Alligator mississippiensis: one gene and its partners. The protein of the gene in region 3 purifies or fractionates together with the protein of the main gene of each other region. This does not show direct contact. Links are inferred from orthologs where the notes say so. Each region holds a gene or a part of one and is shown on either strand. Other genes may lie near its edges. The genes, in order: ACLY, DNAJB6, STIP1 and HNRNPDL.

Region 1 (7,783 bases), on a different chromosome or scaffold from region 3:
TGCAGGGTGGAGGGAAGGAGGAAGCCAGGCTCAGCACCCCATATGTCACTGTCCTCCGCCAGCCCAGGGGGACTTATGGTCTCAAATTGCAGCAAGAGGGGTGAAGGCTCCAGCCTTCCATTAGGAGAAGCGTCTCTCCCCAGGAAGGTACCGGCCACCCAGGGAGCTGGTGCAATCGCCATCCCTGGACGCTTTTGAGCCCCGGGGGAGACAAAGCGGTGTCCGGAGCGATCGCGTGGGGGCTGGTGCCGCTAGGAGCAGGGGGTGGCCTAGATGCCCTCCCAGCCCTCCTGCGCCGTGCCTCTACCCCAGGGCAGGCGAGATCCGAGCTAGGCCCTCGCTCCCGCCGGGCCGGGCCGGGCCGGATCGGTGCATGGACCCCCGCCCCCGGCGGCGAGAGGAGAGGGGCCGGGCCGCCGCCCCGCAGACTCACCGCTCTCTTCTCAGCTCCGCGCCGGCCCAGCCGCTGCCACCGCCCCCGCCTTTTGTTGGGCGCTCGCAGCCTGCTCCGCCCGCCCCGCCCCGGGCCGCCATTGGGCAGCGCCGGCTCCACGTGGCCTTGCCTGAGCGCCGCCGCGCTCCCCATTGGGCGGCGGCGGTGGGGCGCGTCGCGGGCGGGGCTGCGCGGCCTGGCGGGACGTGCGGTGTCGCCCCCGGCGGCAGCGCGACCCCGGCCCGGCGGCCGCCGGAGGGGCGCGGGGGAGCTCCGCGGGGCGCGCTGGGGATAGGGCCGCTGGGCAAGGGCGGCCCCCGCGCTGGGTGGCATGATCATGGCTCCACTGCACCTCCCGTGGGCGGCGCTGGGCTGGGCCGGGCCCGCAGGTCACCAGCTGCTGAGGCTTGGGACAGGTTGGCACTGCACTACACTGCACAGCCGCCAGCGCGGGCCCCGAGGGAAGGGACCGCGCGTCTCAGGGACCCTGCCGGGCTTGCACAGCCGGGGACAGGCGTGGGAGCTCACCCCATCACGTGCCCCACTGCTCTGGCACCCGGCCCTGGCTAGGCAAAGGACCATAGAGTTGGGGGCAGCCCTGGCCTGGACTAGCTGCCCTTCTAATGAGGACCACGTGTCTGATGACAGGTGGAGCCAGTTGGTCTCTTGTTGATTACATGGGATCCCTGGATAAGCGAGGCATAAGGGGCATGTCTACATGAGACACTAGCTGCACAGACTAATGCTGCGCAGGAGCAGGTCGCAGCACCAACAGCACTACTGTTATTAGGCTACGGCACAGTGGTGTCACTGAAGAGGTGATCATCCACGCTACTGCGCAGTAACTGGTTACTGCGCATTTATTTAATACTTGATTATACAAGGACTAAATTGCCATCAATAATCAGCTTGATTATACAAGTACTCAATTAAATGTACAGTAACCATTGGGTGCAGTCACTCTCTGCAGAGACTCCCTATTCCCGACAAAGGGTTACTGTACCTGAAAGCTTGCTAAGAACTTTTCTCCAACTACTCGGTTGGTCTAATGAAAAAATATCACATCTGCTCAAAGAACCTTGCCTGCATATGTCCTTAGACCAACATGGCTACAACCAAAAACCCAGTAACCCCGACCCTATTCTTAAAAAGATCTTCCCAGAGCCACCCATCCTAGCCTTCAAACAAGCACCGAACCTCACTAACATCACCAGAAGCAAACTTCCTCAAGCCCAGAACACACCAAAAGGATCCAAACCGTGCCATGACAAGAAATGCAAAACCTGCCAACACACCTCCACCAACCCCACACTCACTATACCCCACAACAGAGCCATCAGCATTCCTGGATCTTACAGCTGCACCTCCAGAAATGTAATACATCTCCTCCAATGCGCCAAATGCCCTGATGGAAAATACGTAGGAGAGACCAAACAACAACTGCGCACCAGAATGAACACACACCGGAAATCTATCAAAGACAGGAATACCCAATTACCTGTGGGGGCACATTTCTCACAAGAAAACCACTCTCTCTCCAATCTCTCTGTCCTGATCCTCAAAAGAAACTTGCAAAACACTTCCCAGAGACAAGCCTATGAACTCCACTTCATCAGCCTGCTGGATACTAAAAAACATGGACTAAATATAGACATTGGATTTATGACACATTATAACCTGCCTAACATCTGACTCCCCAGGTCTCTCTCCACTATTCATCCCCCTTCTCTCTCTTCCCCCCCCACCCCCACCCCAGCCTGTCTCTCACCCATTGACTCCTTAATCTACATCTTCACTGACTGCCTGTCTTGTATGCATACCAGCCCAGCCCCTGGCTTTTTTACTTTTCATTCCATCCAGGAAGAGCTCACACCAACTGCTGAAACTTCTTTAGCCTGATGAAGGGTTTTTGAACCTGAAAGCTTGCTATATAACTATTCTCCAACCATTTGGGTTGGTCTAATAAAAGATATCAGATTCACCCAAGGAACCTTGTCTGCCAGTAACAATCGTGCATTAATGAACGGGTAGATGCACCCAATGTCCTCTTCCCTTTGTGCTAACCATGACCTGCTTTAGTCCCCTGTATCTGCAGTTCTAAACATTCATTTAAGGGGCTCTGCAATCTAGGGTCCCTGCCCTCAGCCATGGGTACTTTAGATTTGCCATAAATAATCACCTAGATTGACACCTTCCCTCAGTCCCTATGGCTAGTCACACCTCCCTACCTAACAACTGTGCTGAGGAACTTTCCCTGGGCCTGCCTCTCTATACTCCCAACATCCTCTTAGTTTTGCTCTAGTAGCATACTTTTCTGCCAGACCCTAGCTACATATTGCTTTTATCTAGCCCAGTAGTGCTGATCTGCCACAGACCAGAGTGCTGTTTAGTTGTAGGCATAAAGAAGGAAAAGAAACCCAAATAGAGTCACTCGTAAGTGTTGCTGTATCACCTGCTGCCTCATACGATTAAACTCTGGTTGCTGGTGTGACTATAAAAATAAAATTAAAAATGTAAGTAATGACCACTAGCATTCTGTGCCTAGAAGGGTTTATTCCTACAAAGCACTTCACTGAGGTGAGCCAATGCATTCTTTACAGGTGGGAAACCTGCTGAGGAAAAGAGGCCAAGTCACTTACCCAAGGTCCTGCAGTGCTCCAGAGTCGGGAGGAAAACCCAGCCATCCTGACTTCTTGTCCTCAGCTGCTCCTTCTTTAGATTATAGTCTCCTTATAGTTGGCATCATACCTTTACTTCTGATAAGCAGAGGAGGTAAGTTAATTGTGGCTGAGATTTACTTTTCTAGGACTATGGTACTTCACCCTTCCAAAGCTCTTTTTAGCAGGGAGCAAGCCCATGATCCTATAGTGAAATATGCCTCTGAAGAGTCTTTGCAATCTTTGGATTTAAGTATGTTGCAAACATTAATGACATCTTATAACCCTCCTAAGAACAAGATGTATTATTTTCTCAATTTCACAGATGAGGAAAACCGAGTGCTCCACATAACTTGAAGCAAGTTGCCAGGATGCTCATCAAGTCAGAGGTAAAGTTGTAACACAGCCTATTCTCGCAGTCCTTTTCCACACACAACAGAAAGTTTGCTCCTTGAGAATAATACTGTGATACCCACATGAATCCTTTCGTCACAAAGGATTGCTATGGATTATCCCAAGCTCCCTCTCCTTCCTTTAAGGAGCATAGGCTCTTCCAACCTGAACCCAAACCTTGGTCTAATCACTTGGGCTTTCCTATCCCTCTACCAAAGGACAAAACATCTCTCATACCAAAAATCCTCATGTGATGCTGTACAGGCTCTGAAACATTAGCAAGGATTAATATACACAACTACAGATACCAAACATGTCTTTCAGAAGCCAGCCACCGCTTTGATTTTTTTCACATGCTGAAGTTAAATGTTACAAGTGCTGTGATCATGCCCACACCCAGCCTGGAGTCACTAGTTCCAAATAATGTTTTCTGAGTATGCCAGAGGGACCACCACACCCACAATGAATCATTAGGCCAGGAGAAATGAATTAATCTTCAGCATCACTCTTAAGCATCCATCTTAGCAGGCCCCTATCCAAGGCTAAAGTACAGCTAAAACTAATGTTTTCTGGTAGGACAAGTGAAACAGCTGAAAGTTTCATCTATCATTTCTTTTTTGCCTGGAAGGACGATGCTTGTGATAGCATCAATAAGATACATTATGGTTAAAGGATGACAGCTGATCCCACCAGGCTATGGGGTTACTCAGCTGCAGACCTACCTCTGCCAAACTGTTGCCTCATTCAGAACCATTTAGGATGACAGAGTAGAAGAACCAGTTTATCCCGTCCTTCAGCAGTGACAACAAAATATTTTTCCTAATCACTTTCCACAGTTAGGCTACCAGCTGTGCCTACATGCCTGCCGTTCTTCCAGGGCTCCTGCACAGCTTAGAAATACTCAGCAAAGTGAACACAGACTGGATAAAGAGACTGCAGATTCTCTGCAGGTCAGGCCTGTTGGTCCAAAACAAGCTATTGAAAATACAAACAACCAGTATAAGCCATGGGGTACAGGCAGCAATTCTCCATAGAGTTCTCTGTAAGAGAGCTCACCCCCCATTTCCAAAGTCTCTCTCACTTCAGTATATTCATTGTTCCTTCCCTCACATGTAAAGCTGTGCACAGCTCTACCCTTGCCTAAATCTCTGCCCTCATCATCACCACCTGTGCACCACCTAACTTGCTTTCTTCATTACCACTTAAGCTTCATCCACCACTCGCTTCCTTTGCTCACTCCTGATCTCTCATGGCCCACACCTGGAACAGCGTCCCTAAACATGGACACAGTGCTTTTCCTCCCATCCTTCAGATCACTTCTGCAAGGCCACTAAACAAGGATGCCAAGTAATTCATTGTTTTAATTATCTGTTGCAGGATTGCTTGCCAGTCTAGTCACAAATTCACTGGGGCAAGAAGCTACACTGCTGCAATGCTTCTGTCTGCTAGCTCTGTTTTTAGTGTCTTATTCTTTGAAGACATTTATATGAGGAGTTATTTTGGAACAACTATTCCCTAGCATGGGGGAACTCTCTTATTCTGGAATTAGAGTGCTTTATTCTAATTTAGTTTAGTCTGGTTTGGATTACCCCTTTGCATTTGACCCATTTAGGATTAAATTAGAAACAAGGCTCTCTAATTCCAGAACAGAACCATCCTTACACCAGGAATCAATCCTAAACGGTTGCTCTTCTTTAAACTCAGACCCTACCTGAATTAGTTTCCCCATGTAAACAAGACCTTAAATTGTTAACTCTTTGGGAAAAGAAATGACTCTCCATACTTGTCAGCACAGTGGGGCCATGATCACTGGTTGGGGCTGCAGAATGCTACTGTAATACACACAATAACTGCCATGAGGCAAGAATCAGGACAGCAAGATCCTGGTCAAGGTAACAAGGGGTCACTCTCCCTGGCATTCTGCTTGGATGTGGCAGCACTGGGAACATCCCATACCTGTGACAGCCACGTGATTCAGATGGGAATATGCAATCTTCTGCAGCAAAAGGAGCTATACAAACATCTAAGACAGAAAGCCTAGTGTAACTCCCCTTTTAGGAACAAGGGGGATCCTGCCTGCATCTGCAAGGGAAGGGATGGGACCCAACAGAACAGGGGAGGACCTCAGCCAAGCAAACAAGTGAAGGCCCACTAAGCCTCCTGAATACAGGGTACAGCTCCCATGGTGTGGCTGCATGAGCCCTGCAGGCGGGTTGTGGCTGAGAGGCACCAAGCTGGAAATAGGGATCTGGGAACCAATGTCATGTGCATTGCAGCACCCCAAGAAGTCCTGGGACTGCCTGGGCTGGGGGCTGTGCAACCTGCTCAGCTGAAGAGGGCCTGAAGTGGGATAGAGGTGAGGGTTACTGGATGACAAGGCAGCACAGGGGTAGAGGTGGAAGGAGACTAAGGACCAGCCTCCAGGCTGAGGGGAGCATGGCTGGAAGGGGGGTGTGGGTGTGTTAGGGAAAGGGCAGGGGCGAGTGTGCTTGGGGTGGGGTGTGCGTGTGTGTTGGGGGGAGGGCAGGGAAGAGGGGAGCGTGGCTGGGAGCCGCGTGTGTATGTCAGGCGCCTAGAGGAAGTGCAATGGAGGGAAGGAGGTGAGATACAAGGGAGCGGGAAGCCGAGGGGAACCCCCGGCAGGAACAAGGCGGGAGGGAGGGGGTTGCGGAAGGAAGGGGAGATTGGAAAGAACCAATCGAAAGGGCGGGGGGGGAGAAACGCGCGGAGTCACTAGGAAAGACCCCTCCGCTCTCCCGTAGCACCGCGGGAGCGGGCTCACTGGCCCCTCCCGGAAGTGCGGCGGTTGCTAGGCGGCTGTTGCCAGGCTACAGCGGCGGCTGTTGCCAGGCCGGGTCGATGGCGAACGTGGAGCCAGAGGAGCTGGTCGGCACCTTCCCCAGCCTCATGGCCGAGGGCGCACTGCTCAGCCGGCGCGGGCAGCACAGCAAGGCGCTGCTCTGCTTCACTAACGTGAGGGCGCCGCCATGACACAGGCGTCATGAATATGCATGAGCGCTCCCCCCCCCCCCCCCCGGCAGGGTCAAGTGTCAGAGCAGGGGCCACGAGGAGGGGGCTTGAGGGGGCGGCCGCGGGGGTATTTGCCCCCGTGCCTGGAGCTGGGGCCCAAGAGGGGGATGCCAAGGGGACGGGGCAGGCAGTATTGGGAGAGGGGGGAGTGCTGCCCCTCTGGGGTAGCGCTCCCCACCCGCGCCACGGCCTCCCTACGGGGGGGTGGGACTGAGCCACCCCCCTCGCTACTAGCTCCCTCCAGCCTGCCAGCCGTAGGGGCAGAGCTGCCCGAGGAAGGCTACCTACATCAGCGATTCTCAAACTGGGTCCTTAAGACCTTTTCGAGGGGCTGGCTGGGCGCTGCTTGGTGTGAGCATGATAAACTAGAGGGATTTCAATTGGGCCTCCGTAGCGTTGCAGGTGCTCTGCCCTGCTCTGAGCTTTCTGAGCCCTTTGCAACAGAGGAGTTGCTCTGTTTCTTTTTTGGGGGGGCGGGAAACAAGTGGGAGACAAGAAAAGACAATTGGCATTTTCTGAGAGGTGCTTCGAGTCTCCGCAGGTTGACAACTGTTGATGGAGGGCAGGAGCTGGGACTCCTGGGTTCTGCTTTTGCCTCCCACTGCAGAGTCTCTCTCAGCACCTTGCCCTCTCTGTGACCCAGCTTTCCCCCTGCGGATTAATTACCTTTGCCTACCTTGGTGGGGAGGGAGGGTTGTGATGCTTGGGATGTGCCTTGAGTTTTTTGACCCAGAAGTCTCATCTACATGCAGTGCAGTTCTCCACAGATGGGTCCAACGTGTGTTTTCCATCTTGCTAAGCTTAGGCGACTGAGTACATCTCTGTGTTCGCACCCCAGGCTCTGCAGCTTCAAAAAGGGGATAAGCACTGTCTGGTTGCTCGCTCAAAATGTTACCTGAAGCTTGGGGACACAGAAAATTCCCTGAAAGATGCAGAAGCCTCTCTTCAAAATGACAAAACATTTTCCAAGGTAAAGAGTACTTGGGCAAGTGATAGGTGTACTGCCAGAAGCAAGGGGAAGCATCAGTTTCCTGCTTTTCCTACACTTTTTATTCCTGCACCAGGCAGCAATTTTTGTCTTGGTGGATTGTCTGAATTTACAATATTTAGTTGTTATGATCCTGTAATTGCATTCAGTTGTAGAGCTGCTACACTCTTTCGTTGCTAGCTCTGCTGCTTTTATAAGAGGACGTAGTTGTCTTGAGACATGATCATTTATCAAACTAAAATCCCACATCTGCCAGGAAGACTTGGGTTTCCATTAAAGTTA
Region 2 (8,056 bases), on a different chromosome or scaffold from region 3:
TTATTCCCAAAAGTGATTGTGAAGTATTACAGTTATTCATTGATATTGTAGTTGTACTTATTAAGTACAAGAATTCAGGAGTCAGGGCTTCAATGTACTAGATGCTGCATAAACAAGAAGCAAAGAGACTTTTTCTTTCTCCCAAGATCTTACGATCTAAAGAAGAATGCTTGTGGGTACTATACCTGTTACTAGGAACCCTGTCAATTTTGTGGTCTTGCAATTACATTGTACAGAGGGAGGAAAAATGTCCAGCACACCTACAGCCTAGGGAATGACCTGCTGGGTGGCACGGAAGTGGAAAGGGATCTTGGAGTCCTAGTGGACTCCAAGATGAACATGAGCCGGCAGTGTGACGAAGCCATCAGAAAAGCCAATGGCACTTTATCGTGCATCAGCAGATGCATGACGAATAAATCCAAGGAGGTGATACTTCCCCTCTATAGGGCGCTGGTCAGACCGCAGTTGGAGTACTGCGTGCAATTCTGGGCACCGCACTTCAAGAGGGATGTGGATAACCTGGAGAGGGTCCAGAGAAGGGCCACTCGTATGGTTAAGGGCCTGCAGACCAAGCCCTACGAGGAGAGACTAGAGAACCTGGACCTTTTCAACCTCCGCAAGAGAAGGTTGAGAGGCGACCTTGTGGCTGCCTATAAGTTCATCACGGGGGCACAGAAGGGAATTGGTGAGTTTTTATTCACCAAGGCACCCCCGGGGGTTACAAGAAATAATGGCCACAAGCTAGCAGAGAGCAGATTTAGACTAGACATTAGGAAGAACTTCTTCACAGTTCGAGTGGCCAGGGTCTGGAACGGGCTCCCAAGGGAGGTGGTGCTCTCCCCTGCCCTGGGGGCCTTCAAGAGGAGGTTAGATAAGCATCTGGCTGGGGTCATCTAGACCCAGCACTCTTTCCTGCCTATGCAGGGGGTCGGACTCGATCTATTGAGGTCCCTTCCAACCCTAACATCTATGAATCTATGAATTGTAAAACCACTCATTTTACAATCACATTTCCCTTCTTTTTCCCCATAGGTTTTACTGCATGAGAGCCATGCACGCTGGGAATGTGACAGGCTGTGCAGGAGTGACTGCTTTTTCCCCAGATCTGAATGAAAATGCATTAGAAAACTTTTCTAAGACTATACCAACCATCTAGTTGGTTCAATAAAAGATATCACCTACAGAAATCCTTACCTACCCCTCATGAAGCAAGTCCTAATTAAGAAAAAAATTAACCATTTTGATGCCATAATCTCAGAAGAACTAAATGGACAGAGACTGAGCTGCAGTTTTGACTGCACAGTTCCATTAGAACAGTGCTGAGATGAAACTTCCTCTCCTGCCCATGGTGTTCCTATTTTGCTGGATAATCAGAAAATTTTATGCTGCAGAGCTCTGAAGCCAATAAATTAATAGAAAATATGATATTCAAGCAATTAAAATAAATACATTAATGGATACTGAGCCTGGGGTTTTCTAAAAGGCTTAAGGAAGTTAGGCGCCCTGGAAATCGAGCACGTCTCCTTCAGGACTCTTAAGAATCCCAGCCTGTCTCTGTAAAACTTTCTGAACATAGGAATAGCTCAGACAGAATAATTTGAGACCAGCAACCACAATAGCCAGAATAATCTATTGGTCTTCCTCTGGACCCAAGTGACTCACCAACAGTTGGGGGCCTGTAACATGTTTCAGTTAGGAGAAATTTGTGATGGAGTTGGGTGATGATGAAGACGGGTATTTTTTGATGGAATCTTGATAGTTTACAAGAAATGCACCTTGTCCTCCTCAGCACATGTTCATGTGATGGCTGATCACTACCCCTAAGTCCGTTTCAGCTGTGGTGCAAGTTAAATTGTCGCCACTGAGCCTGTAGGTATGTTGGGGATTGTTTGCCCCCAGATGGAGCACCCTACATTTCTGAGTGTTGAACTTCATCTGGTTCTGGTCTGCCCAACTCTACAGCCAGGTAGAGTCCAGGTCTGTCCAGGTCCGTTTGTATCTGCAACCTATCTCCTGGCATGGCCAAACTCCTCCATAACTTGGTGTCATCCGCAAAATTGGCCAGCTAACTTTTCACCCCCACATCCAAATCATTGATAAAGATCTTGAAAAGCACCAGTCCAAGCATGGACCCCTGAGGGACACCACTGGCCACTTCTCACCAGGATGACACAGATCCATTCATGAGCACTCTCTGGGTCCTACTATGCAGCCAGTTTTCCACCCACTGAAGTGTTGAGCAGTTAAACCCACAATCTTCCAAATTTTCCACAAGGATGTTGTGGGATACTAGATCAAAAGCCTTTTGAAAGTCTAGTTATATAATGTCGACCTTCTCTCCCATGTCCAGGTGGCGAGAGACCTGCTCATAGAAAGGGATGAGATTGGTAAGATAAGACCTACCTATGATGAAGCCATGCTGGCCATCCTTCAGAATCTTACCCTTAATGAGCGTATTGCACAAAGATTCTTTAATGAATTTTTCCAGGATTTTCCCTGGGATGGAGGTTAGGCTGATTGGCCTATAGTTGCCCAGGTCCTCCCTCTTTCCCTTTTTGAAGATGGGCACAATGTTGAACCTCTTCCAATCCTCAGGGATCTCCCCTGCGTGCCACAAATTCTGGAAGGGGTTCCACAGTGACCTCAGCCAGCTCTATCAGCACTCACGGGTGAAGTCCATCTGGTCCTGCTGACTTATAAATGTCTTTTCTAGTTAGTTTTGCATGAGCTCAGCATCCACAGTGGGAAGGCTATCATTCCCACCATGCCCCTTGTGATCTTTATCTTGTTTGTGTTTCCCCTTGGTCCGGTGAAATACTAAAGCAAAGTGGGCATTCAGGAGTTCAGCTTTTTCCTGAGTGTCCGTTACCAGCTGATCCGAGGTGTTAAGCACGGGCCCCACACTTCCACTTGTTTTCTTTCTGTTCCCTACATACCTAAAGAAGGACTTCTTATTGTCGTCGACTCCCTTGGTTAACTTAAACTCAGTGGCTGGCTTAGCTTTCCTAATCATTTCCCTACAAATGCGGACCACTGTTGTATAGTCCTCCTTGAGGACTGTCCCTAGCTTCCACTGTGTGTACGCCTCTTTTTTCTTTTTCAAGAGGACTGCAACGTCCCCACTGAGCCAGGAGGGCTTGCCAGCCCTTCTGCTACTGTCTCCCAGGTAGCTCTGGGAAGGTCTTTGTGGCCAGCCTTCTCTGTGGCCACCTTCTCCTCCACCTTATTCTTCTCTACTTCTTCTTTTTCCTGGAGTAGGGCCTGGCAGTAGCTGTCGATGTAATCTTCGTGGGCCCTGATGGTGAATAGCTGACGTACCTCCCCCTCAAGCTCCCACATTCGGCCCTCCAGGGCCCCCACCAGGGAGCATACCCCACAAGTCGGGATGCCCCCTTGTACGGTTGCCAGCAGCCACACCCTGCAGTCTGGGGTCACGGGCTCTGTCTGGGTGGAGGTCTCAGCAATGCCAAGACACTTGCAGGTATCGTGAGTGGCCGCCATGCCCGAGAGTGATATCTTTTATATCTGACCAGTGGTCTCCAACCTTTTTATGGTGAAGATCACTTTTTTCAAGCAAATGGCACCCTAGGATCTATGCCCCCTTCCCCCTCCCGTGGCCAGATGAATGTGGTGCCCCTGGATGACCAGATCTTCCCAACCCTGGCTGGGCCAGGCCCGCCCCCACACGAGTCCCTGCTGCTGAGCTGAGTCGCGCCGGCACGTGGACAGCTACAGTGGGACTCGAGGTGTAGCGGCAGCAGCCTCTGCTGCTGCTGCCCCCGCAGAGATGGGGGGAGTCCCTACCCCATGCCCCTGGAGGAGCCCCCCAGGCTACAATCCTGCCACCACCCGGCTGGGCTGGGGCACTACTTATGTTTTCCTGCTCCTGACTGGGCCTCACCACAGGGCCTCGAGCTGGCCCCTGCCTCTTCCCTTCCCTTCCCTTCCCTTCCCTTCCCTTCCCCACAGATTGACCTGCTGGGACTGCAGGGGCGAGGGCGAGGGCGGGTGCGTGCACGTGCTCGCACTCAGCTCTCTCCCAGCCCAGGATTGACCAAAAGAGGATCCGGGATCAATGGGTTGGTGACCACTGTATTAGACCAACAGAGCAGTTGGAAAAAAGTTCTTTGCAAGCTTTTGGGCGCAGGATTACACTGCCTGTGGCTTTTCCAGGTTGTCTTCCCTGTCTTTCTTCTCCGTTGCTGTACGTTTCTCTTCACTTAAATTGTTCTGCCTTTCTTATACACGTGTGCCCACCAAGACCCAGAAGACTACTTTGTAGAGCAAAGCCTTTATTTTGGCAAATGACGTGTTTTTGATTTGGAGGCATCACCTGTGAGCTTATGTAAAGGAGCTCAATGACATCCCATAACATAATGATCTCAGCTGAAGGATAACAGTTATAATGACTAGTTGCAAAGAGGTTCAATCCACTCATTAATGTGTGTGTGTGTGTGTGTGTGAACTTAAAATGTAAGTTGGTCTAATAAAAGATATCAGATTCATTCAAAGCCCTTAGACCCCCCCCTTGAATGACATGATTTAGAAGAGGTAGAACAAAAGCTAAGCGCTGGGGGAGGGGTGCGGAGAGTGGAAATCAACAGGGTTAAAAATGATGAGATTTTAAATAATAAGGGCGATTGCGGTCCTACGCCTTCTGGCTTTGGAAACTCCAGGTTTCGTGGCTCCAAGGTAGACGATTAGATGGAGCTGTTTTAGTTCACATTGCGCTCTTCACATAATCCCGTGACTCCAGGAGCGTGCACGGCGCGGCGGGGACGAGGCCCAGGGTCCCGCCCGAGCTCGTTGCCTCCGCCCGCCGCCAGGGGGCGCCGCCGCGCTCCGCCCGGGGGCCGAGGGAGGGGCATGCGGAGGAAATTCGAGAAGCTTCCGGAAACAGCTGACGCCGCGGAAGTGAGGTCGTGGTGACGTGTTTCCTGTTTGTTTAGGGCGATAGAGTTGCCCCGACATCGCTCCCGCTGCTCTTACGTCGCGGAGCAGAGCCGCCGCTGAGGTGGGTTCGCGCGGGGCGGCCCGATGCCGCCGGTGGGCGGCGGCGCGGGGCCGGGCCCTTAGCAACCGTGTTGGTGGCAACGGGCGGCCGCGGCCTGGCGGGGAGCGGGGGCCGAGGCCTCCGCGGGGCCCAGCTCCGCGCGCGTGTCGCAGGGGCGGGAGCGGCGCCGCCTCGGCCCGCGCGGCTGAGCCCGGAGGCTGAGGGAAGCGGCCGGGCTCCTGCGGGGCCGGAGGAGCAGCGGCCGCCGCCGAAACCCGCGTCTCAGGCAGGCCTGGCTGCGGCGTGGGGCCCGCGGAGCGGGCGGGTCTCCTTGCCGGGAGCCGGCTGCGGTGACTCCAGCCCCTCGGGCAGGGGCCGCGGCGCCCCACGCGCGGGGGCTTCCGGGGGCTGCGAGCGAGGGCGCTTCCCGGGCGAGAGCCGCCTTTGTCTGCAGCGCTCCTAGCTTCTCGTAGCTGAACAGCTGCGCCAGCGCCGCCGCCGCCGTTAGCCCGGTATCTTGGGGCACAATAACAAGCCCCCAAAGTAAAGCGGTGGTGTTCCCTAAAAAAAAACGGGGGAGGGGGGCGTTACTTAAATAAAACCAAAACAACTAAAATAAAATTGACTGAATATTTTTTTCATGGTTTGGTGCAACATGTGAGAGGCAAGGGGTTTCTTAGGGAGATGTTTTTTTCAGAGAGCTGAAAAAGACCTAAAGTATGTTTGGAGGCCTGGGGACGAATTTCTTGGAAGTCTTGTCTGCCTTGAACCTAGGGACGTAGGAGGTTCGATAAAAGATACTGCCTGAAGAAGTGCTTGCCTCTGGCATCACTTCTGGACCAGCGGGGCTACTGTGTCGCTCTGACACTAATGGAATATGTGAACATTAAAAGTCTTATTTTGTAGTAAGGAAAAGGTTCCCACTCCCTGTTTCACTTTTTCTATTTTGTTTTCTGTTTTTTTTTTTTTGCTATAAATAAGGGGAGGAGAGCAACATTAAAGCTTTTTTTTTTTTCCCCCAACAAACTTCACTTTTTAATTTTTGAGGGGGGAAAGGAATTTTTGAACCAAACTGTTTCCCTTCCTTTGAAGTCTTTACTGGAGACTAACCCTAACCCTAACCCCCTACGCTTTCAGCCATCTCTACGCTAAAATATTTCTCTGTAGTTGTTACAGCTCTGCTGTCTAATAAATGCCACTTTTATTTGTTGTGTGTTCCAGTGCTGACTTTCTAGTCCTTTAATCTGTTGCCTCCCTAATTCCCAGTTCATCCTTAAAGACTGCCAGGGGAGCAGCCACCATGCCCTCCCTGTCCTCTGCAGCAGCCTCTCCCCCTAGTACTCTAAGAAGATTTGTCTCTGAGACTGATACAACTTGTCAGACTCTGGACTTCAGTTTTGCAAAATGCCGGTGGCTCAACATGATTTAAGCGATATGTTATGCTTTTTATTTAACCATCTCCTGTCTGAGGGTCCACTAGGAACCATGAAGTATGGCAACAGTAACCAGATCAAACTAGTAACTGTCCTGTCACTCTTCACTATTGTCTAGCTCCCATAGATGTGCTTAAACTGTTTATGAGAAGAAGAGGCACCTCTTTGTCTTCAAGCCTTCCATTTCAGTCAGCAGAGTAACTAGTAGTTAGTGGCTTGTACAGGGAGGGGGAGGAGGGACTTTTTTATTTATTTATTTATTTATTTTTTACTTCGTGCCTGTGAGCTCTTTTCATGAACCAAGATGTAATTGGGTTTGGTGTTATACCAGTAAAACAGAAAGCTGACCTTGCCTTAAAGACCTTCTACTCTAAAGATGCCTGACAAGAGGCAGCATTAGTATCTCCAACAATGGAAATACCTTCTCTTTACTGGCCCGATATAAATTGGTAGAGAATCTGCACTGTAGTGAACTTTACTCTGCTTTGATATGGTTACTTCATGGTTGCTAGTGGACCATCAGGCAGAAGATGGTTATGTGCAGAAAGTGTGGTTGTACAACCTTAACTGTAGGCCAGTGGTTTTGAGGCTTCTCATTTTTGGCTGGGAGAAGAGATTTTCAGTTAAATCGTGTTAGTATAAAAATGTTTTTATCCTCTTCCTGAATTTCTGTATGCTAATGATCTTTATATCATATCCCGCAAAACATCTGTAAAACTGTTTATACAGGTTGTATGGCCAAAATGCTTACACATTTAAAATTCAAATGCTTAATAAAACTACTAGAGAAAGATAATTGCAGAAATGTGGTAAGCTGAAGCACTTGTGCTGCTGACCTACAAAGATTTTTTTTATGGTTAGTTGAAATTATGAAGCTCCCCTATAATTCTTCTGTAACTTTTTTACTTAAAGCAGAATCAATGCATATCTTTCACTTACTGAAAGTGAAACAAACTATAGCAGTTTGTTTGAACTGCTTGTTTGTTGAAACAAACTCCTCTTGCCTGTGGATACCTTTCCCCTCCCTCCCAGCTGCCACATCAGGTATGCTGGGGGCAGGGAAAGATAATGGGTCCTTGGGCTGGATCCGGCTTGCAGATGGGTCTCAATATGGGCATGTGCTGTGTGCCTTGTAGGTCGGATCAGACCCAGGGGCAGCATCAGGGCTGGATCTGTTCCACCCCTGAACTATAGGCTTGTAGGTTTGATTCAACTCTTGCCAACAGTAACTTGCGAAGTTGTAACTTAATGTTTAGTAAGAGAACTGTGGTTTCATCTAACTTTTAGCTTTTTCAGTTTGATAGGGTGCGGCCACATGTGGTGTCTTACAGTATGGTAGGATGCATGCTTGTTGCATTAGCCACTCCATGATAACTGTCCATATGTCCACTCTTGTTTTATGGTAAATGTCCTACCGTCACTGAGGGGCGAGCAACCTCACGTTTCCCATGCGATGAGCATGCACATGGACGGTTGCCATGAAGTAGGTACAAACATGCAGGGAATCTTGTAACTTGTTTGTGTAGCCATAAACTTAGTTTAACTATGCAGTTCTTGTACAGATAATTTTTTCTTTAGTAACTTTCTGCAGTAACTGATAGTCCCTATAAGAAACTTTTAAAATAATTGT
Region 3 (7,501 bases):
TCCCAACCTGCAGCCCCCTCCCCACATGAGCTTTGGCTCCGAGCCCCCATTATCCCAGCCCTATGAGTTAACCTTGGATATAACACCTGCTTCTTCAACCTGTCCCCTCCCCCAAACCCGGCTTAATCTAAATTAAGTCTCCATGTGGACACTCACTCTTAGCCATCTTCTTCCAGGTGTCAATGCTCTTCAGAGGGAGGAAGTCCTTGGTGAAGTAATGCTCCCGCCGCTGCTTCTGGCTCAGGCCACTCAGATACTCTGCAAGGGGGAAGATGGGTAAACTGAGGCGCAGAGCAGCAAACTAGTTGGGGAGCAGGGGGGACAAGTCCCAGGCTCCAGGCCCCTCTGCTCTCACCCCCCAGCCCCACTCTCCTCCCAGAGCTGGAGAGGACCCAGGTGTCCTGGCAGGGCCCGGCCGGTTTCCTACTCCCCTGCCTGGCACTGCTCTCCTCCAAAATGACGGCTGTCACCTAGGGAACAAGCCCCCAGCTTGGCGCTGCCCAGGCCCACCCAACAGGGAAGTGTCCTCAGTGTCCCCCAAGGGTCCCTTCAGGCCCCGTTGCCATAGTGACTAGAAGGCCTTGGGCCTCATCCGGCCTCTGGGGTGGGTCGGTCCTAGGCCCCAGGCCTCCTGGGCCTATTTCCATGGCAACCTCTAGCCACCCCCACCCCACTGCACTGGGCCTGACACCTAGGTCCGAGGCCTCACCGGGCTGTTTCCATAGCAACGCCAAGCCCCCACCACGCCTCCCTGGGCTTGACACCCATTTCCATGGTAACTACTAGGCCCAAGGCCTCACTGTGCCCTTTTCCATGGCAACTTCTAGGCCCTGGGCCCCTTGCTGGGTGGCATGTAGGCTTTAGGCCTCACCAGGCCTCACCCTGCCGGTGGTGAGCTCTAGGCCCCAGGCCTCACTGGGCCTGTTTCCATGGTGACCTGTAGCCCTGCCCTCTGCCCCCCAGGGCTTCTTGGCACCCTCTAGGCCTCAGTGTCCTCTAGGCCCAGCAGCGCCAGGCAGGCACTCCCAGAATCCTTTGCACCACTAGCAGCTGCTGGCAAGCACCCACGGCTGCTCTCAGTGCAAAGGATTCTGGGAGTCCCGCCACCCCCTTGGCACAAACCGCAGCATTGCCCGGAGAGTCCTGCCACCCCCTTGGCACAAACCCCTAAACTTTGGCACGCCCTAAACTGGTGCAGGCCTGGCCTGGAGACCCCCACACTGTGCCTAGCAAAGGGACAAGGGCAGGGCATGGAGCTGGGCACACCTACAGCAGCCAGAGGGGGCACAGGCCTGGGGGGAGCAGGGGGCTATGCCCGGTTGCCCTCCACCTCCCCAGGCACTTACTTTTTGCCTCCTTCCAGTCGGTGGAAGTGGTGAGGTCCACTTTGGCCGCCATGTGCAGTGGGGGGGCACCCGCCCAGGTCCGGAGCGCGCCCCGGGGTAGAGAGCAATCGCCCAAGTGAACTGCCCCCCTCCAGAGAGCCCCCAGCACCCCGGGGCGCCCGACCCAGCCCCCCAGCACCTGCCCTGCCACTCTCAGGGCCTGAATGCCAAACAGAGCCACTGGCATGGTCGCAAAGAGATGCCCCCCCTCCCGGCGCTGGTTGGTCCCTGAGTGCAAGAGGGAAATTCTTCTCCCTTATTTATTGCACCTGGTATTTAGCTGGGGGGGGGGAGGGAAGGCGGAATCCGTCCTGCTTGAGCAAAGCTGGGCTAGGAGCAAGCTCTGCCCAGAGCTTAATGCAAAGGATGCTGGGAAATGTAGTCCCCGCCCTAACCCCATCTCCGTGCAGAGGCTCTGTTTCGGGAGGACGGGGGCTGGGAGCCAGGCACCTTCTCGTCCCACTTCGGGAGGGGAGTGCAGCCTGGGGGGCTGGTTAGAGGAGGGACGGCCGGGGCCCAGATGCCTGGCTTCTCTCCCTGCTCTGGGAGCTGGGGACTGAGAGCAAGGGGCTGGGAGCCCGGACGCCTGGGGCCTCCCCCTGGTCTGAGGGAAGTGGGGGCTGAGGGGTTGGAGTAAGGGAGGTCTGGGAGCCTGGACACCTGGGTTCTCTGCCTGCGGTGCGATACCCCCTCTGGAGCAGAAACCCAGCCCCATGCTTCGACCTCTGACCCCTTCCACCTCCTGCCCCAGCCCAAAACCTCTTTGCAGCCAGCCAGGGCTTCAACTACAGCTCCTGGCATGCTGAGCAGAGCCTCCAGGGCCTGCCCCCCTCAGCCCCCTCCTTGTGCACAAGCAGGGAGACTGCCTGCTTCTAAAGGCAATGCCCTTGCAAAGGGGGCTGGAGTTGGACTGGGATCATATCCCCCCTCCCCCTATAACCAGAGCTCTGGCTATTTAAACCCAATGCTTGGGGAGGTGGGGGCTATAAATAGCTCGTGGCTGCCTGATCTTGCTGGCTGCTTCAACCATGGGCTATGTTTAGCCCTACACCCTGTGTGCTGACAGTCAGGGCCTTTTGCTGAGCCCCACATGCTATGTGAAACCCTGGGCCAGAGGAACATGCATCAGCTTAAAAGAAACCTCCAGGCAGGAAGAAGAGCACAAGATATATATATATATATATATATATATATATATATATATATACATACACACACACACATACACACATCTCATCTAGCATAAAACTTTCCATCACACACCTTAAACCACATTAAGAAACCGCGCACCCATTACAGAGGAGAACAAGACACTTTGCACTGAACAGAGGTGGCCACATGAGCTGTGCAAAGCTGTTGCACAAGCCTGCTGGGGTGTGGGATAGTGCTTTTTACCACAGGGAAACTGAGGCAGGGATAACAGCAGGGATAGAAAGACCCCAAGCATCCTGGCTCCAGCCCCTCCCCCGGCCATACTGTGGGCACTGCACCCCAGGCCCATTACTGCAGACAGAACCCAGGAGTCCTGGTTCCTCAGTGGTCCCTAAGCCACTAGCCCTCTCCTGCCCAGGCCACATCTCAGGACAGACCCAGGTGTCCTGGCTCCTTCCTACCCCCTCGCCTAAAACCCACCCACTGGAGCCCAGGTTACCTGCCGCTTCCCACCCCCGGCAGCTCCGCTGGGAGATTTGGCTGTCCCACAGGCAAGCACTTCCACCCAAAGCCTCTCCCCGAGATCCCGAGCTGGCAGTCATGCATGGTGGTGACCACACAGGGCACCAGGTTCACGGACATTGTGAATGCCCAAGAGCCGAGGTGAGGTATGTGTACGCACGGGACATCACATGTACTGGAGGCATGCAAAACATGAGTGTTGGAGACGCACACACGCGTCATGCATATGAAGCATAGGAACCAGTGCCAGAGGGACACACGCATCTTACACAACTTATGCATTGCCCTAGAAATGGGCCCAGCAAGGCCTGGGGCCAAGGTGGCAGGCCCAGTGAGGTTGGAAGCGTAGAGGCAACAGGATCTGACAGGACCTCAAGACCTTGGGGGGCATCCTCAGTAAGGGGGCCTGGGCAGCACCAAGCAGAGGGGGCTTGTTCCCTGGGCAACAGCCCTCATTTTGGAGTGTGGCCGAGCCAGGCAGGGGAGTGTGAAACCCAGCAGGATGCCTGGGACCTCTCCCCAGTGGGCTGGAGCAGGGGGAGGCGAAAGCCCACGCACCTGGCAGGAGGGGTACGAGTAATTGTGCAAGCTCCCCTTGCAGGGCAGGGGCACGAGTGGGGACTGAAACACAAGACCTCCCCTCCTCATCCCCTGCCTGCCAGGAACAGGCCCTCCAGGCTCTGCCAAGTGCACCAGGACCCCGGGGCTCCCCGCGTTGAACTCCCCAGGTCACACGTGGGCAGAGACCACCTAACAGCGCAACACAACAACCAGTGTGCCCACACGACACACTTCCCGCCAGCGGCTCAGCGCCGCCTTTTAAAGGACCACGGGCGGTGACGTCTCTCTGGAGTGGCCCAATCAGAACGCCGCACTCCGGCGTGGCGTCACGGCGTTGCGGCCAGCCAATGAAAGGACGCAAAATCCCAGGATGGGAGGGGGGCCTTTGAGGGATGGAAAGGCCGTTGGACCAATGGACGCTGAGAGGCGAGCAGCAGCCAATCGGAAGAGAGAGGGCGGGGCTCAGTTGTCAGGCGGGAGCCAATGACATCAGGCATGGGGAGCGAGGGACGGCAGAGGGCTTGATTGACAGGTACTGAGGATCAATGAGAAGAGGGAATGGACGGGGTGGGCGGGCCCCGCGTTCCAGCGAGGCGGTGCGGGGGCCGGGACGGACAGCGTCTCCCACCAATCGTGGCTCGGGGGCGGTGGGGTCCCCGCGGGCGGCGGCCAATGGGGCGGCGGGGGCGGAGCCGGGAAGCTTTCTAGCAGGTTCCAGAAGGCAGCGGTGGTCGCGGACCGGCCTGAGCCATGGAGAAGGTGGAGAAGAGGGATCTGGGGGGACGGGGGTGCTTGAGGGGTCCCCAGGGGCTGGGCGCGCTACTGGGCGGGGCTATGGGGGCTGTGGGGAAGGGGCTGCCCGCCCTGCCGCACGGGAGGGGGCTTCTGGGGGCGCCCCTGGGCGGGGGGGGGCAGGACGCGGGGGGCATTGGGGGGGGGTTCTACTGCTCCCCCACACTGTGAGAAGGGGGCGATGGGGGCAAAGGTGGGGACTGAAGGGGTTGGGGTAAATCTGGGCCTGGGGTATGTGGGAGCAGCTGTGTGGGGGGGATGTGGGGGCAGCTGTGCGGGGGGGCTGGGGGATGTGGGGGCAGCTGTGCAGGGGGGGCTGGGGCAGCTGGCAGCCTGGGGGGGTTGCATGGGGGCAGCTGTGTTGCCTGCTTCCTTGCAGCCTGAAGAGGCCCTGGCAGGGGCAGGTGGAACGAGTTCCCTGTCGTGTTTTCCCCCTCCTCCCTTGGGCCCGGCCCCGTGGGTGCTGCTCAGGGCTGGGGCCACCGCCCGCCCCTGCCTGACTGGAGGAGCTGAGACCTGTTTGTGTCGGCACCTCCCTGCTCCTCACAGGTGCCCGGTTCTCCCACCTCCGCACCTGCACTCCGGTCCCCGGCCCTGGGCCTGGGCTTCCACACGTGCAGCCCCGAGCCCTGCATCTTTGGGGCAGATCCAGGCTGGGAGGTTGAGCCTGGCACAGCTCTGTCCCCTTGTGACGGGGGCTGCTGGGCAGGGGCGGAGGGGGTATTGATGGTGTGGGATTACTGCTCCTTCCACTTCCGCAGGCAGCTGCTTGGGGGCCTTGAAGTGGTAATTATTTCCCTCTGGGTGGCCTCCGGTTTGGAGCTCAGCCCCCACAAGGCAGCTGGCAGCTTGGCTTCAGGTGCCGGATGGGGCTGGGATGCAGCGAGGTAGGGGCTGGAGACCAGGGCAGAGGCGGGCACCTGCAATCAAGTGACTCATTTTGGGGGGGGGGGGGGTCAGAAATGCTTCTTCCTGGCAGCTGTGGGCACTGATGCATGGCTTCCCAGCTGTCCCCCGTGGCACAGTTCCTCCCTACCTGATCTCCTTGGCTCGAGCTGCCTCTTTCTAGCAACGGGGAAGCACTTGTGGAGCTGCTCTCCCTGGACTTCTGCCCAGCTGCAGCCTCCAGAGGCACCGGGTGATCCCTGCTGGAAGTCTTGTCACAACATAGACCAGGCTGGGGAGGCTTAGTTTGGAGGGTAAAGTCGGTTTAGGTTGGATCTCAGGGAAAACTTAACTGCTGGAGCAGGACCGCAGTGGGAGAGAGGGCAGGAGAGCTAGGGACTCTCCATCACTGGAGGGTTCAAGGCTCTTACAGTCGTCGGTTGGGGCTGATGGGGGCATAGCGCTGCCTCTTCTACTGTGGAGATTTCCCAGGCTTCAGGCGGGGCAGTGCTGGCTGCCACCGCCCTGCCTCTGCCACTTGGGGGGGGGCGGGGTTAAGCCTTCCCCAGAGGCACTGGGTGTTGGCTGCAGCCAGGCTGGAGGTTGTAATTGCTCTGTGCGTGTGCTGCTGGGACCACAGCCGCTGGCTACAGGGTCTTGCCTCCTCTTAGGGTCAGGGCAAGACCCTGTGGGAAGGGCAAAAGGGGGAGGCAGGAATCAGCTTTGGGAAGTTCGTATCTTCCCCCAGCATCCACACCAGCTGTGCCTTCGAGGTGCCAGCTCACATCTTGGTGGGAAAGCTGAGGCAGTTGGTACAAAGCTGGCTGCAGTGATACTCTCCATGTGCTGACCGAGACCCCAAGGGTAGGGACAGGGCTGTCTGGAGCCCAGTGGCCCCTGGGAGACTTCCCGGCTGGGCTAATTCATCCCCTTCTCCCTCCCTCTCAGGTGAACGAGTTGAAGGAGAAAGGCAACAAAGCGCTGAGCGCGGGGAACATCGCTGAGGCCATCAAACACTATTCAGAGGCCATCAAGCTAGATGCCAAGAACCATGTGCTCTACAGCAACCGGTCGGCAGCCTACGCCAAGAAGGGGGAGTATCAGAGAGCGCTGGAGGATGCCTGCAAGACAGTGGAGCTCAAGCCAGAGTGGGGCAAGGTGAAGCGGGGGGACAGATCTAGCTGTATCGGAGGCTGGGTCATTCCCCAGTGGCCCCAGTCATCCGTGCCTGGGTGGAGAGTCCCATGGTAACTGGGGTGACTTCCAGCTGGGGCACAACTCATACACATCATAGGACTGATTCCTAACTGCTTTTTTCCTCCTACCACTGGTTAGATGTAGGCATGGGTGGGCTGTGAAGACACCTGGGTTCCATTACCAGCACCAGGAAGGGTCCAATAGGGTAAAACAGCCAGGTGCTGGAGTTCCTCAAAGCCCTTTCAAGCATGTAGTGGGATGCCTCATTAGCATCATTAGGCAGCTCGCAGGAGAAACCCAGGGTTGTCCAACAGGAATGCATAGTGTTCAAAATGTCCTGAGCTGTCGTGATGGGAGGCCTTTGCAAGAAAAGAGTCTCTCTCTTGTTTTTTCTGTGGTCAAGAAAGAGAAAGCTAAGAGCTGAGATTCTCCAATGGGGGTTGGAAATCTGGAGGGGGTGGGAAGCATGCTGGGAGTCTGTAGTGGGGGTGGGGTGGCCATGAGTCTGTGGGCTGGGGAAGGCAGGCTGGCTGTGGCGGGGATCAGGGGTGTTGCATCTAGTCCATACCGGTGCTCTAGACAAGACCAGCCCTGGCTAAATCAGCCCAGCTGTGTCTGAGGACAGAGACTTTCCTTCTTCCCCCACTCAGAGCCAGAAAATCCTCCCACATTCCCAGTCTCAGTTTCCCCTGCTGCCATCTCTGTCCTTGTCCTGTCCCATGTGGCCACTGGGAGTCATCTCTCTCATTCTTCCTGCTGCAGGGATAAGCCTCCTTCAGTTTTTTCTTCTCCAGACTCCCATCATCCCAGTCTTTCCAGCCTGTTCCCAGGCCTGTATCCCAGACCCCTGATGAGGTTTGTCACTCTCTGCTGGGCTCTTTCTAATCTGTCCTCATCTTTCTGGGGCCCTAGCCTAAACTCACTTCTCCATGAGAAGCCTCACCAGTGCTGAATAGAGCAAGAAAGGCTCTTACAATCATAGCTGGAAGGTTGAGGTCTTAGGCATC
Region 4 (7,547 bases), on a different chromosome or scaffold from region 3:
AATGGGGAAAAAAGCCACAAAATTATTTCACAGAATATGCGAGATAATATTATGGCTGGTTTCCATCCTCCTTTATACTGAACATGTGATAGGGTCCCTGCTATGCAGCCTGCTGCCAGCTGCATAGTGGGGCTGTGGGACCAGCTCCAAGGCTGGGATTGCCAATCAGCTGATTGTCAGTCTTAGCCCCAGGATCATATCAGATCCAGTTCAAGATCAGGGAATTTGGGGGGGTGGCTGTATTAATGGCCACCACTCCCCTGCTGCCATATTTCTTGACTTGTGGAGATTCTCGCGAGCCTCATGCAATGGCTCTGTGGGCCATAGGTTGAACACCCTTGTTCTAGAAGGTTAAGTGACCCACTGGCACGCTAAACTACACATTTTTTGATTGAAAAGCTACTAGGTAAAGCGAGTTAACCAGAACAGTAGTATCCCAAATTTTTCAATCTGTCATTTCCCACAGGTCCTGTTCTTATGCAGTCTTAAAATAACATTGTACAAAAGGAGAACCACACTTGCCAGCTGTGAAGTGGACAGGAGTCTGATAGACTAGGGAATGAGACAATGAACTTATTTGAAATAAGTCACCCAACTGTTGTTGGGAGATTAAATTTTTAGGGCTGTTCTGTTCTGGGTGGGATGTAACCTGACAAATCAGAGATGGGACACTTGAATATTCAATGATATAAAAAGTCAGAATGGATGATCTAATGGCTTATTTTGGCCTTAATATTCCATGAATCAGTCCACTATGACCCAAGATTTTAATCTAGCATTTCCAAAATTTAAAAGCTGAACCTCATTTCAGGAAAGAAGTCAATCTGTGCCTTCCACATTACTAATAAGCCTACATCCTAATTTTTAAATTGCTTGCCCAATATACCACTTCTCCAGTTAATCTTCAGACTCAACTCTCCATCTTTATGGAAAATACAGTATAAATCTTCATACTACTCTTCTCCTTTTTTACATTATTGGTATCTATGCTAGCACCAAGTAAAAAATGAAGTCAGTTCACAATGCAGAAAGAAGCTCTCAGAAGACTCAAATAAATATTGCAGCTTCAGATACATTCGCATAATGTTTGGAAGGTCATCTCTGCATCCACAGCCCCTTAAAAGACTTAATTTCAAAATTAGTAACTGAAAACAGAGAAAAATCTTCTGCATGTCACAATGTAGAAAATACTAACTCAAGCAATTCAGGTATACCTCACAAAAGTCCCATCCAATTATAAAAATCCATGCAAGTTATTCTTGAAACATTCTTGCCCTAGCATATACAATAAATAGTTTGTTTAAAGTAACATTTTAAAACTATCTGCTTTTAAAATGTTTATACAGTTTCCTATGTTAGTATAAACCCTTTTAGCACAAATAAAGTTATACCAATAAAAAAAGATTTTTTTGTCAGTAAAACATGCAACACCAAGCAGGTTTTGCCATCCTAGACAGCTATGCCATTAAAAAAATTACATTCCTATCAATGGCCAACATAGCTATGTTAGCAGAATTTAAATATAGGCCACACCTAATAACGATTAGTAGCTGCCTGCAGTAATAGCTACCTTAAAGTCAAAATCTTGAGTCTTTTGATGTTGATCATCTATATAAAAAAAATCACAATTAAAGAGGAAAAACATCTAGTTGATGGGTTTATTTCGTCTTAAAGAGTGGCCTGCAAGAAAAGCAGCAAAGGACTCGTGAAATTGATTTTTCCATTCTAAAAGAATTTAGCATTGTAGTTTATGGTGGTTAAACTGTCTTTTCATTACCAAAAAGGAACTGTTCACCATCTTGCCTGGTTGAAAATTAATATTCAGGTATATTAAGAAAAAATTATCATAAGCAAGCTCTTGCCTTTTTTGCCAAATACAGAGGTGTATTTTTATTTGTTATAGAAACTGTTATACAATTAAAGTGATGTATGCTCCATTAAGCTGCTTTGGGCAATAAACATGAATGTAATGGTACTGTTTTGCATTCATATCATTCATAACAACTTGATTTTGGGGGGGGGGGGGGGGGGCAAGTAACACTTGCAAATTATAATGTTGCTTCATGTGTTTCCATGCATGTCAGCAATGATCAAAATAAAATCCTCACCTTGCACATGAAGGATTATTTCATGTTTAATTCATTTTTTACAGATATCAATATTTTGAGAACTGGATGGACATAATGGGAGAGTACAATGTGTGTCGGAGTTCTTAGGTAGGTCCAAAGTGATCTATAGTACTTGTTAGCACTGTGTTCAGAAACATATATTTAAAAGGCCACGCGGTAAACTAGTATGAATGTCTGTTCTTTTTTATAGTCTGTAGTCATGTATATATTTTTTTGGCTTTCAGATTAAAAGAATTATGCAAGTCACACTTATTTTAAAAGACTGTTGCTGTTGTGTAGGATTTTCATAATGTTCACCCCAAATCACTTAACTTTTTTATTTGCAACCCCCACCCTGCTTTTCTCTGTGTTGGCTAGTAAGCGCTGTCATGGCCCAATCAGGCTATGCCTCAGGCATCTCTCTCTAAGTGACCTGGTTTCTCTAATAATTGATGTGAGTAGATCACAACCAAGCGTACATGCCTGCTACGTGTGACAAACTGCATTTATGTGACAGCGTGTGCCAGAGCTACTGAGGCTTAAAAGGCCAGAGATGGTTACACACTTTTGCAGGCTGGTACTGAAAACTGTGGGTGTTTTAGGTTGGGAAGAAGAGAGAGGGGAGCTGCAGATGCTGAGGCCTCTTCAGTAGCCGTTTCTCTTTGCATTTCAATCTACAGCATTGGGCAGGGCGGCAGCATGTCAGTAACACCAGCAAGGAGTTGCACAACAAGGGGAGGCAAGAGACAGACCTACACATGCACACTCTGAGAAGTAGGCAGTCCCACATACAGATGCCCTCCCCACATGCACAGTGTGCAAGCTAGGCAGCCCCTGCACACACACACTGTGCAACCTAGAGACAGACACACATGGACCCCCCCCCCACACATTGTGTAAGTTAGAGATGACCCCCCACACCCATGTGCTGTGCAAGCTAGACATATGTGCATGTGCGTACACACGCACACACTATGCAAGCCAGGGACAGATCCACATGCAGGCCCTCCCACACACACTGTGCAAACTAGACATATGCATGCTGTGCAAGGGTACGCTAAAGGCAGGTTCATACACACATGGTGCAAGCTCAAGACACTTCCCCAACACCCACACCATGTACAAATCAGATAGAGACCCACACATCCAGCCATATGTGTGCAAGCTAGACAAACCAACACACACACTGCACACAGCCCCCCCCCAAGCTAGAGACACCCCACAGCCGCACACACTTGCATGCCAGACAGCTGCACCCTCCCACACATCCAAGGTGCAAGCTAGACAGACCCCCGCTGTCAACTACGCACAAACTTCGCATACCTCTATCACACACGCACATGAACGCACGCGTGCGCGTTGTGCAAGCTCCAGCCAGGGACACACACCCCCCAGCCCCGTATCACTCACAGAAACGCATGTGTGTAAAGCTGCCAAAGAAGATTTTTTCCACCTATGTAGTTGTTCTAATAAAACACATCGCATCTACCCAAAATACACGGCGTGGCGCTTCCGCGTGAGCTATAGCCAGGACCCCTCCCCCACACCCCGCGGCGCTCGATATCCAAGCGAACGTGCCCGCAGCCCGCGTGCTTCCGGCCCCGGCCCACCTTGACAAAGGCGATGGGCGTGGTGGTGCCTTCGATGTCCAGCAGGATGGCGCGGACCGCGGCCGGCACGGACAGCACCCCCATGGCCCCGCCCGCTCGCCTTGCGCTGAGCTGCGCCCACTGCCGCAGCAGCTGCGCGCGAGGTTGATGCCGAGTAAGCGGAGCCGGCAAGCGGAGAGTGAGAGGGCTGCGCCGATTGGCTGGATAGGAGGAGGGGGTGGGGCTTAGCAGGCACCCTAAGGCTCTAGGCCTGGAGCCGGGGGTAGAAGTTGGTCCGTGGGGGACGGGACTTAGCGCAAAGCTGCGGAGGAGGGGGCGCGAGCCGCTGCGGGACCTTCGAGACAGCAGCCAGCTGGCCACGTGAGTGGGGTGGGCAGTGCCGATTGGCTGCACGGGACGAGAAGGCGGGGCTTTGCTGACATCTGTGCCTGCGGGGCGAGGCAGTGCGGCCTGCTGTGGGCGGGCGGGGCTGCTGAGTGCACCAAGTGTGGGGGGGCGCGTGCGCGGTTACATAAACAGAGGCCCTTCCAACCCTGAGGTGGGCGCGGCGCTCTCGGCTGCTGTTGCTCTCCCTTCACGTGGGGCGAGAGAAGACTTGGTGTGGGCCGGCCCCCTGCCCTGGGGCTCCAGTCGGAGCGGCCTGCAGCTCTTCCGCTTGCTCCGCGCTGCTTCCTCCTCTCTGCCCATAACCGCCTAGCCGCGCCGCCGCCATTCTGCGCTCCCCCCTGCCGCCCGCAGGGGGCGCTGCGGATCGCGCCCCACCGCGCCGCGCTGATTGGCTGCCGTGACAGGTATATAAGTACGGCGCAGGCGGGGCCCGGATCTCTTCCGCCGCCATTTTCTCTGCCGCTCGGGGCTCTGGCTGCGCGGCGCCTCCTCTCTTTGCCACTGCGTGTCGGTCTCTGCGCGCCCGCCATGGAGGATGTGACCGAGGTGAGTGGTGGCGGCGGCGGCTCGGAGGACTTCGCCGAGGGCTCCAAGATCAACGCCAGCAAGAACCAGCAGGACGATGGGTGCGTGCGGCCTCGGGGTGGAGACGATTGTCACGAGCCGGGCCTGGCTGGGGGGGGGGGGGTGGTGATCCCCTCCCCCACTCCTTGGTTGGGGGGGCTCTTTGTGTCTTGACCCGTTGACCTGGCTTCCGAGGGGCGGGGTCACGAAGTGCCAATCACTGCCCCTGACGTCACCCGCAGCCTATTGGGGCGCGGCAAGCCGCCACCTTCCCCCTCCTGGAAAGGGGCGGGGCGAGCGCGTTTTCTGAGCTGGGGGGGTGGACACGTGCGCGGGCACGGGCCTGCACTGCTTCCCTCTGGCAGCATTGGTGCGTGGGGGGAGCCCCCATACCTGTGGTTATGGCAGAGTGCCAAAAACACCCACAGTCTCCCCTTGTTAGGTGTTGGTGTGCCAGGGGTGGGCAGCAAGCAAGCTGCAAGGAGCCTGATCCTTTTTGCGGCAGCGCAGCCCAAACACTTACCCACTGTCTATCTGGAAGCATGTGTGCCAAGCAGAATACCTTCCCGTGCCACACTGGCACCTGTGCTGGGACTTGCTTGCCCCAGGGTTATAGTCTTGCTCAGGATTATGTCCATCGTTGTGCTCTCTCAGCGTCTAGTGTCAGACCTTCCCCTTCATCTAAGTAGGTCTCATGGGTACAGCAGGCAGCCCCAAGCTCTGAAGATGGGGTGGATGGATCCAGTGGTATGTTGCTGGCTCCAATATGGCTAGAGAAATTGCCACATAGGCTTGGTTCTTTCCAAGCTTGATGTGACTAGCCAAATGCTCTGCTCTTACCTTTTTCTTTTTTTCTTTAGCAAAATGTTCATTGGAGGCCTGAGTTGGGACACAAGTAAGAAAGATCTGACTGAATATCTTTCTCGTTTTGGAGAGGTCGTGGACTGCACAATTAAAACAGATCCAGTAACTGGGCGGTCAAGGGGATTTGGGTTTGTTCTCTTCAAAGATGCTGCCAGTGTTGAGAAGGTATGTGCTGTCAGTTTAGGGGCTGTAACAATTTTGTCGCTTCTGAACTTTCTGAAAATTTTCTTGGGTATTGTCTTGTTAGGTGCTGGAGCTTAAGGAACACAAGTTGGATGGCAAGTTAATAGACCCCAAAAGGGCAAAAGCTTTAAAAGGAAAAGAGCCCCCCAAAAAAGTATTTGTTGGTGGGCTGAGTCCAGACACATCTGAAGAACAAATAAAGGAGTACTTTGGTGCTTTTGGAGAGGTACAGTATGACTGCTCTGGAGACTCTTTAATTACATGATCAGTGTTAATAAATTAGATAATTTGTTTTAAGTTTGGGAAGAGAGAGGATAATCTGTGCTTTCCATGGAATTATGGTTTTCATAAATTTCAATAAACCAGCAATATCTGGAATGAGGTGCAATAGTTAAATTAACCATGGTACTTGTGGTGTACCTCATCAAGTGATGCAAGGGGATTTTTTGGTTGTGTTTTTCCCTTGCCCCCTCCTCTACTCCCCAATGTACAGATAGGTTCCACTGGAATTCCCCCACTTCAATGTAGTTTGTTCTGTTTTCGGCTATATAAATAGAAGAAGTTAAATGGATTTTTTTTTTTTTTTATTTAAACTATATTATTGGTGTGGATGTTTCTCTACAAGAGACTACAGTGAGTCAGAGTAAAAACCGTGACAATGATACACTTCAAATGATTTTTTTATTTTTTTTTATTTTCAGATTGAAAATATTGAGCTTCCCATGGACACAAAGACAAATGAAAGAAGAGGTTTCTGTTTCATCACGTATACAGATGAAGAGCCAGTAAAGAAATTATTGGAAAGCAGATATCATCAAATTGGTTCTGGAAAGGTATGGATGTTTTTGGTCCAACTGACAAAGCTGTCAAGTAACAATTCTTGTTGTTCTGGACAAGCATTCTTAGTTTTATGTTGTTTTCTTGGCATTTGCATGCAGCTAAACTTTCCTATCTCATTCCAGTGTGAGATCAAAGTAGCACAGCCCAAAGAAGTATACAGACAGCAGCAACAGCAACAAAAAGGAGGAAAAGGAGCTTCATCTGGTGGACGAGGTGGTGGCAGGGGCCGTGGCAGGGGTATGTTTGTTGGAAATTGTATCTCTTTCTAAGGGCTTTTCTCCAAGCTTGGTTTTAGTTTGTCTGTTAGGTTGCTCCAGAACAAACATGAGCAGGGTAAACGAGGTGTGGAAACTAAACTTCCTGGGACTTGGTTGACTTCACATTTTATAAAAACTAATTTAGGTTGTTTTCACAGCTACTCAAATGTAAACTGAAGACTAGTTACTTGCGTTGAGATTTGAGACTGCAAATTCCTGAATTTAGTGGTTGTTACTTTTAAAAGGTATAGATATGGGGTAAAGCTAGATAGTATCTTCAAGGTTTTATCCATGGTGATCCAGGTAATGTGGAAAGGGGGTAATAATGATCTGTTGACAGTGGGGGGGGGGAATGTTTCCAAATACATGCAATGTATATGAATGTTGGGACAAGAGTCGTCTTGCCAGTATTAGGTGATTTATGAATAGGAGTGTGCTACCTCTTCACTTTTCAGTAGTTAAACCAAAGTCACCAACATTTGCAACTCAATGTGACACTTTGAAGCAAGGTGTTTTGGAATGTTGCATGTTTTTGTGTTCCTCATGCGCTTCCAAAAGCATTAGATGCTTTGCACAGTGACAGGACTTTTCCACATAGCCATTACAGAATGGAGCTACATGTTGATGTAGATTGCTTGCTACTTCTCTTGGGAGGGATAGAGTGTAGGAAGTGGAACTACAGTGTATAATTGCTGTACTTTTTTAGGTCAGGGACAAAGCTGGAATCAAGGATT

The links.
Region 1: the proteins of STIP1 (region 3) and ACLY fractionate together in Homo sapiens (co-fractionation; 3 studies listed by BioGRID, with this or other methods). This does not show direct contact. The link is inferred for Alligator mississippiensis from reciprocal best matches to the Homo sapiens genes STIP1 and ACLY.
Region 2: the proteins of STIP1 (region 3) and DNAJB6 purify together in Homo sapiens (affinity purification with mass spectrometry; 3 studies listed by BioGRID and IntAct, with this or other methods). This does not show direct contact. The link is inferred for Alligator mississippiensis from reciprocal best matches to the Homo sapiens genes STIP1 and DNAJB6.
Region 4: the proteins of STIP1 (region 3) and HNRNPDL fractionate together in Homo sapiens (co-fractionation; 3 studies listed by BioGRID, with this or other methods). This does not show direct contact. The link is inferred for Alligator mississippiensis from reciprocal best matches to the Homo sapiens genes STIP1 and HNRNPDL.

Annotation. Positions count from the first base shown.
Region 1 is NC_081827.1:162,979,241-162,987,023, reverse strand, and holds the start of ACLY (ATP-citrate synthase), read right to left. Parts: upstream 3,156-7,783; 5' UTR 3,073-3,155; intron 1-3,072. Other genes in the region: ODAD4 (outer dynein arm-docking complex subunit 4), read left to right, coding at 6,343-6,456, 7,352-7,483. UniProt on the Homo sapiens protein: Catalyzes the cleavage of citrate into oxaloacetate and acetyl-CoA, the latter serving as common substrate in multiple biochemical reactions in protein, carbohydrate and lipid metabolism.
Region 2 is NC_081828.1:202,941,020-202,949,075, reverse strand, and holds the start of DNAJB6 (dnaJ homolog subfamily B member 6), read left to right. Parts: upstream 1-4,904; 5' UTR 4,905-5,014; intron 5,015-8,056. UniProt on the Homo sapiens protein: Has a stimulatory effect on the ATPase activity of HSP70 in a dose-dependent and time-dependent manner and hence acts as a co-chaperone of HSP70. Plays an indispensable role in the organization of KRT8/KRT18 filaments.
Region 3 is NC_081838.1:4,559,710-4,567,210, reverse strand, and holds the start of STIP1 (stress-induced-phosphoprotein 1), read left to right. Parts: upstream 1-4,294; 5' UTR 4,295-4,370; coding exon 4,371-4,379; intron 4,380-6,245; coding exon 6,246-6,455; intron 6,456-7,501. Other genes in the region: ADP-ribose glycohydrolase MACROD1, read right to left, coding at 157-258, 1,347-1,572. UniProt on the Homo sapiens protein: Acts as a co-chaperone for HSP90AA1. Mediates the association of the molecular chaperones HSPA8/HSC70 and HSP90.
Region 4 is NC_081825.1:146,137,167-146,144,713, reverse strand, and holds the start of HNRNPDL (heterogeneous nuclear ribonucleoprotein D-like), read left to right. Parts: upstream 1-4,535; 5' UTR 4,536-4,633; coding exon 4,634-4,731; intron 4,732-5,529; coding exon 5,530-5,698; intron 5,699-5,780; coding exon 5,781-5,942; intron 5,943-6,417; coding exon 6,418-6,549; intron 6,550-6,678; coding exon 6,679-6,793; intron 6,794-7,519; coding exon 7,520-7,547. Other genes in the region: ENOPH1 (enolase-phosphatase E1), read right to left, coding at 3,719-3,802. UniProt on the Homo sapiens protein: Acts as a transcriptional regulator. Promotes transcription repression. Promotes transcription activation in differentiated myotubes. Binds to double- and single-stranded DNA sequences. Binds to the transcription suppressor CATR sequence of the COX5B promoter.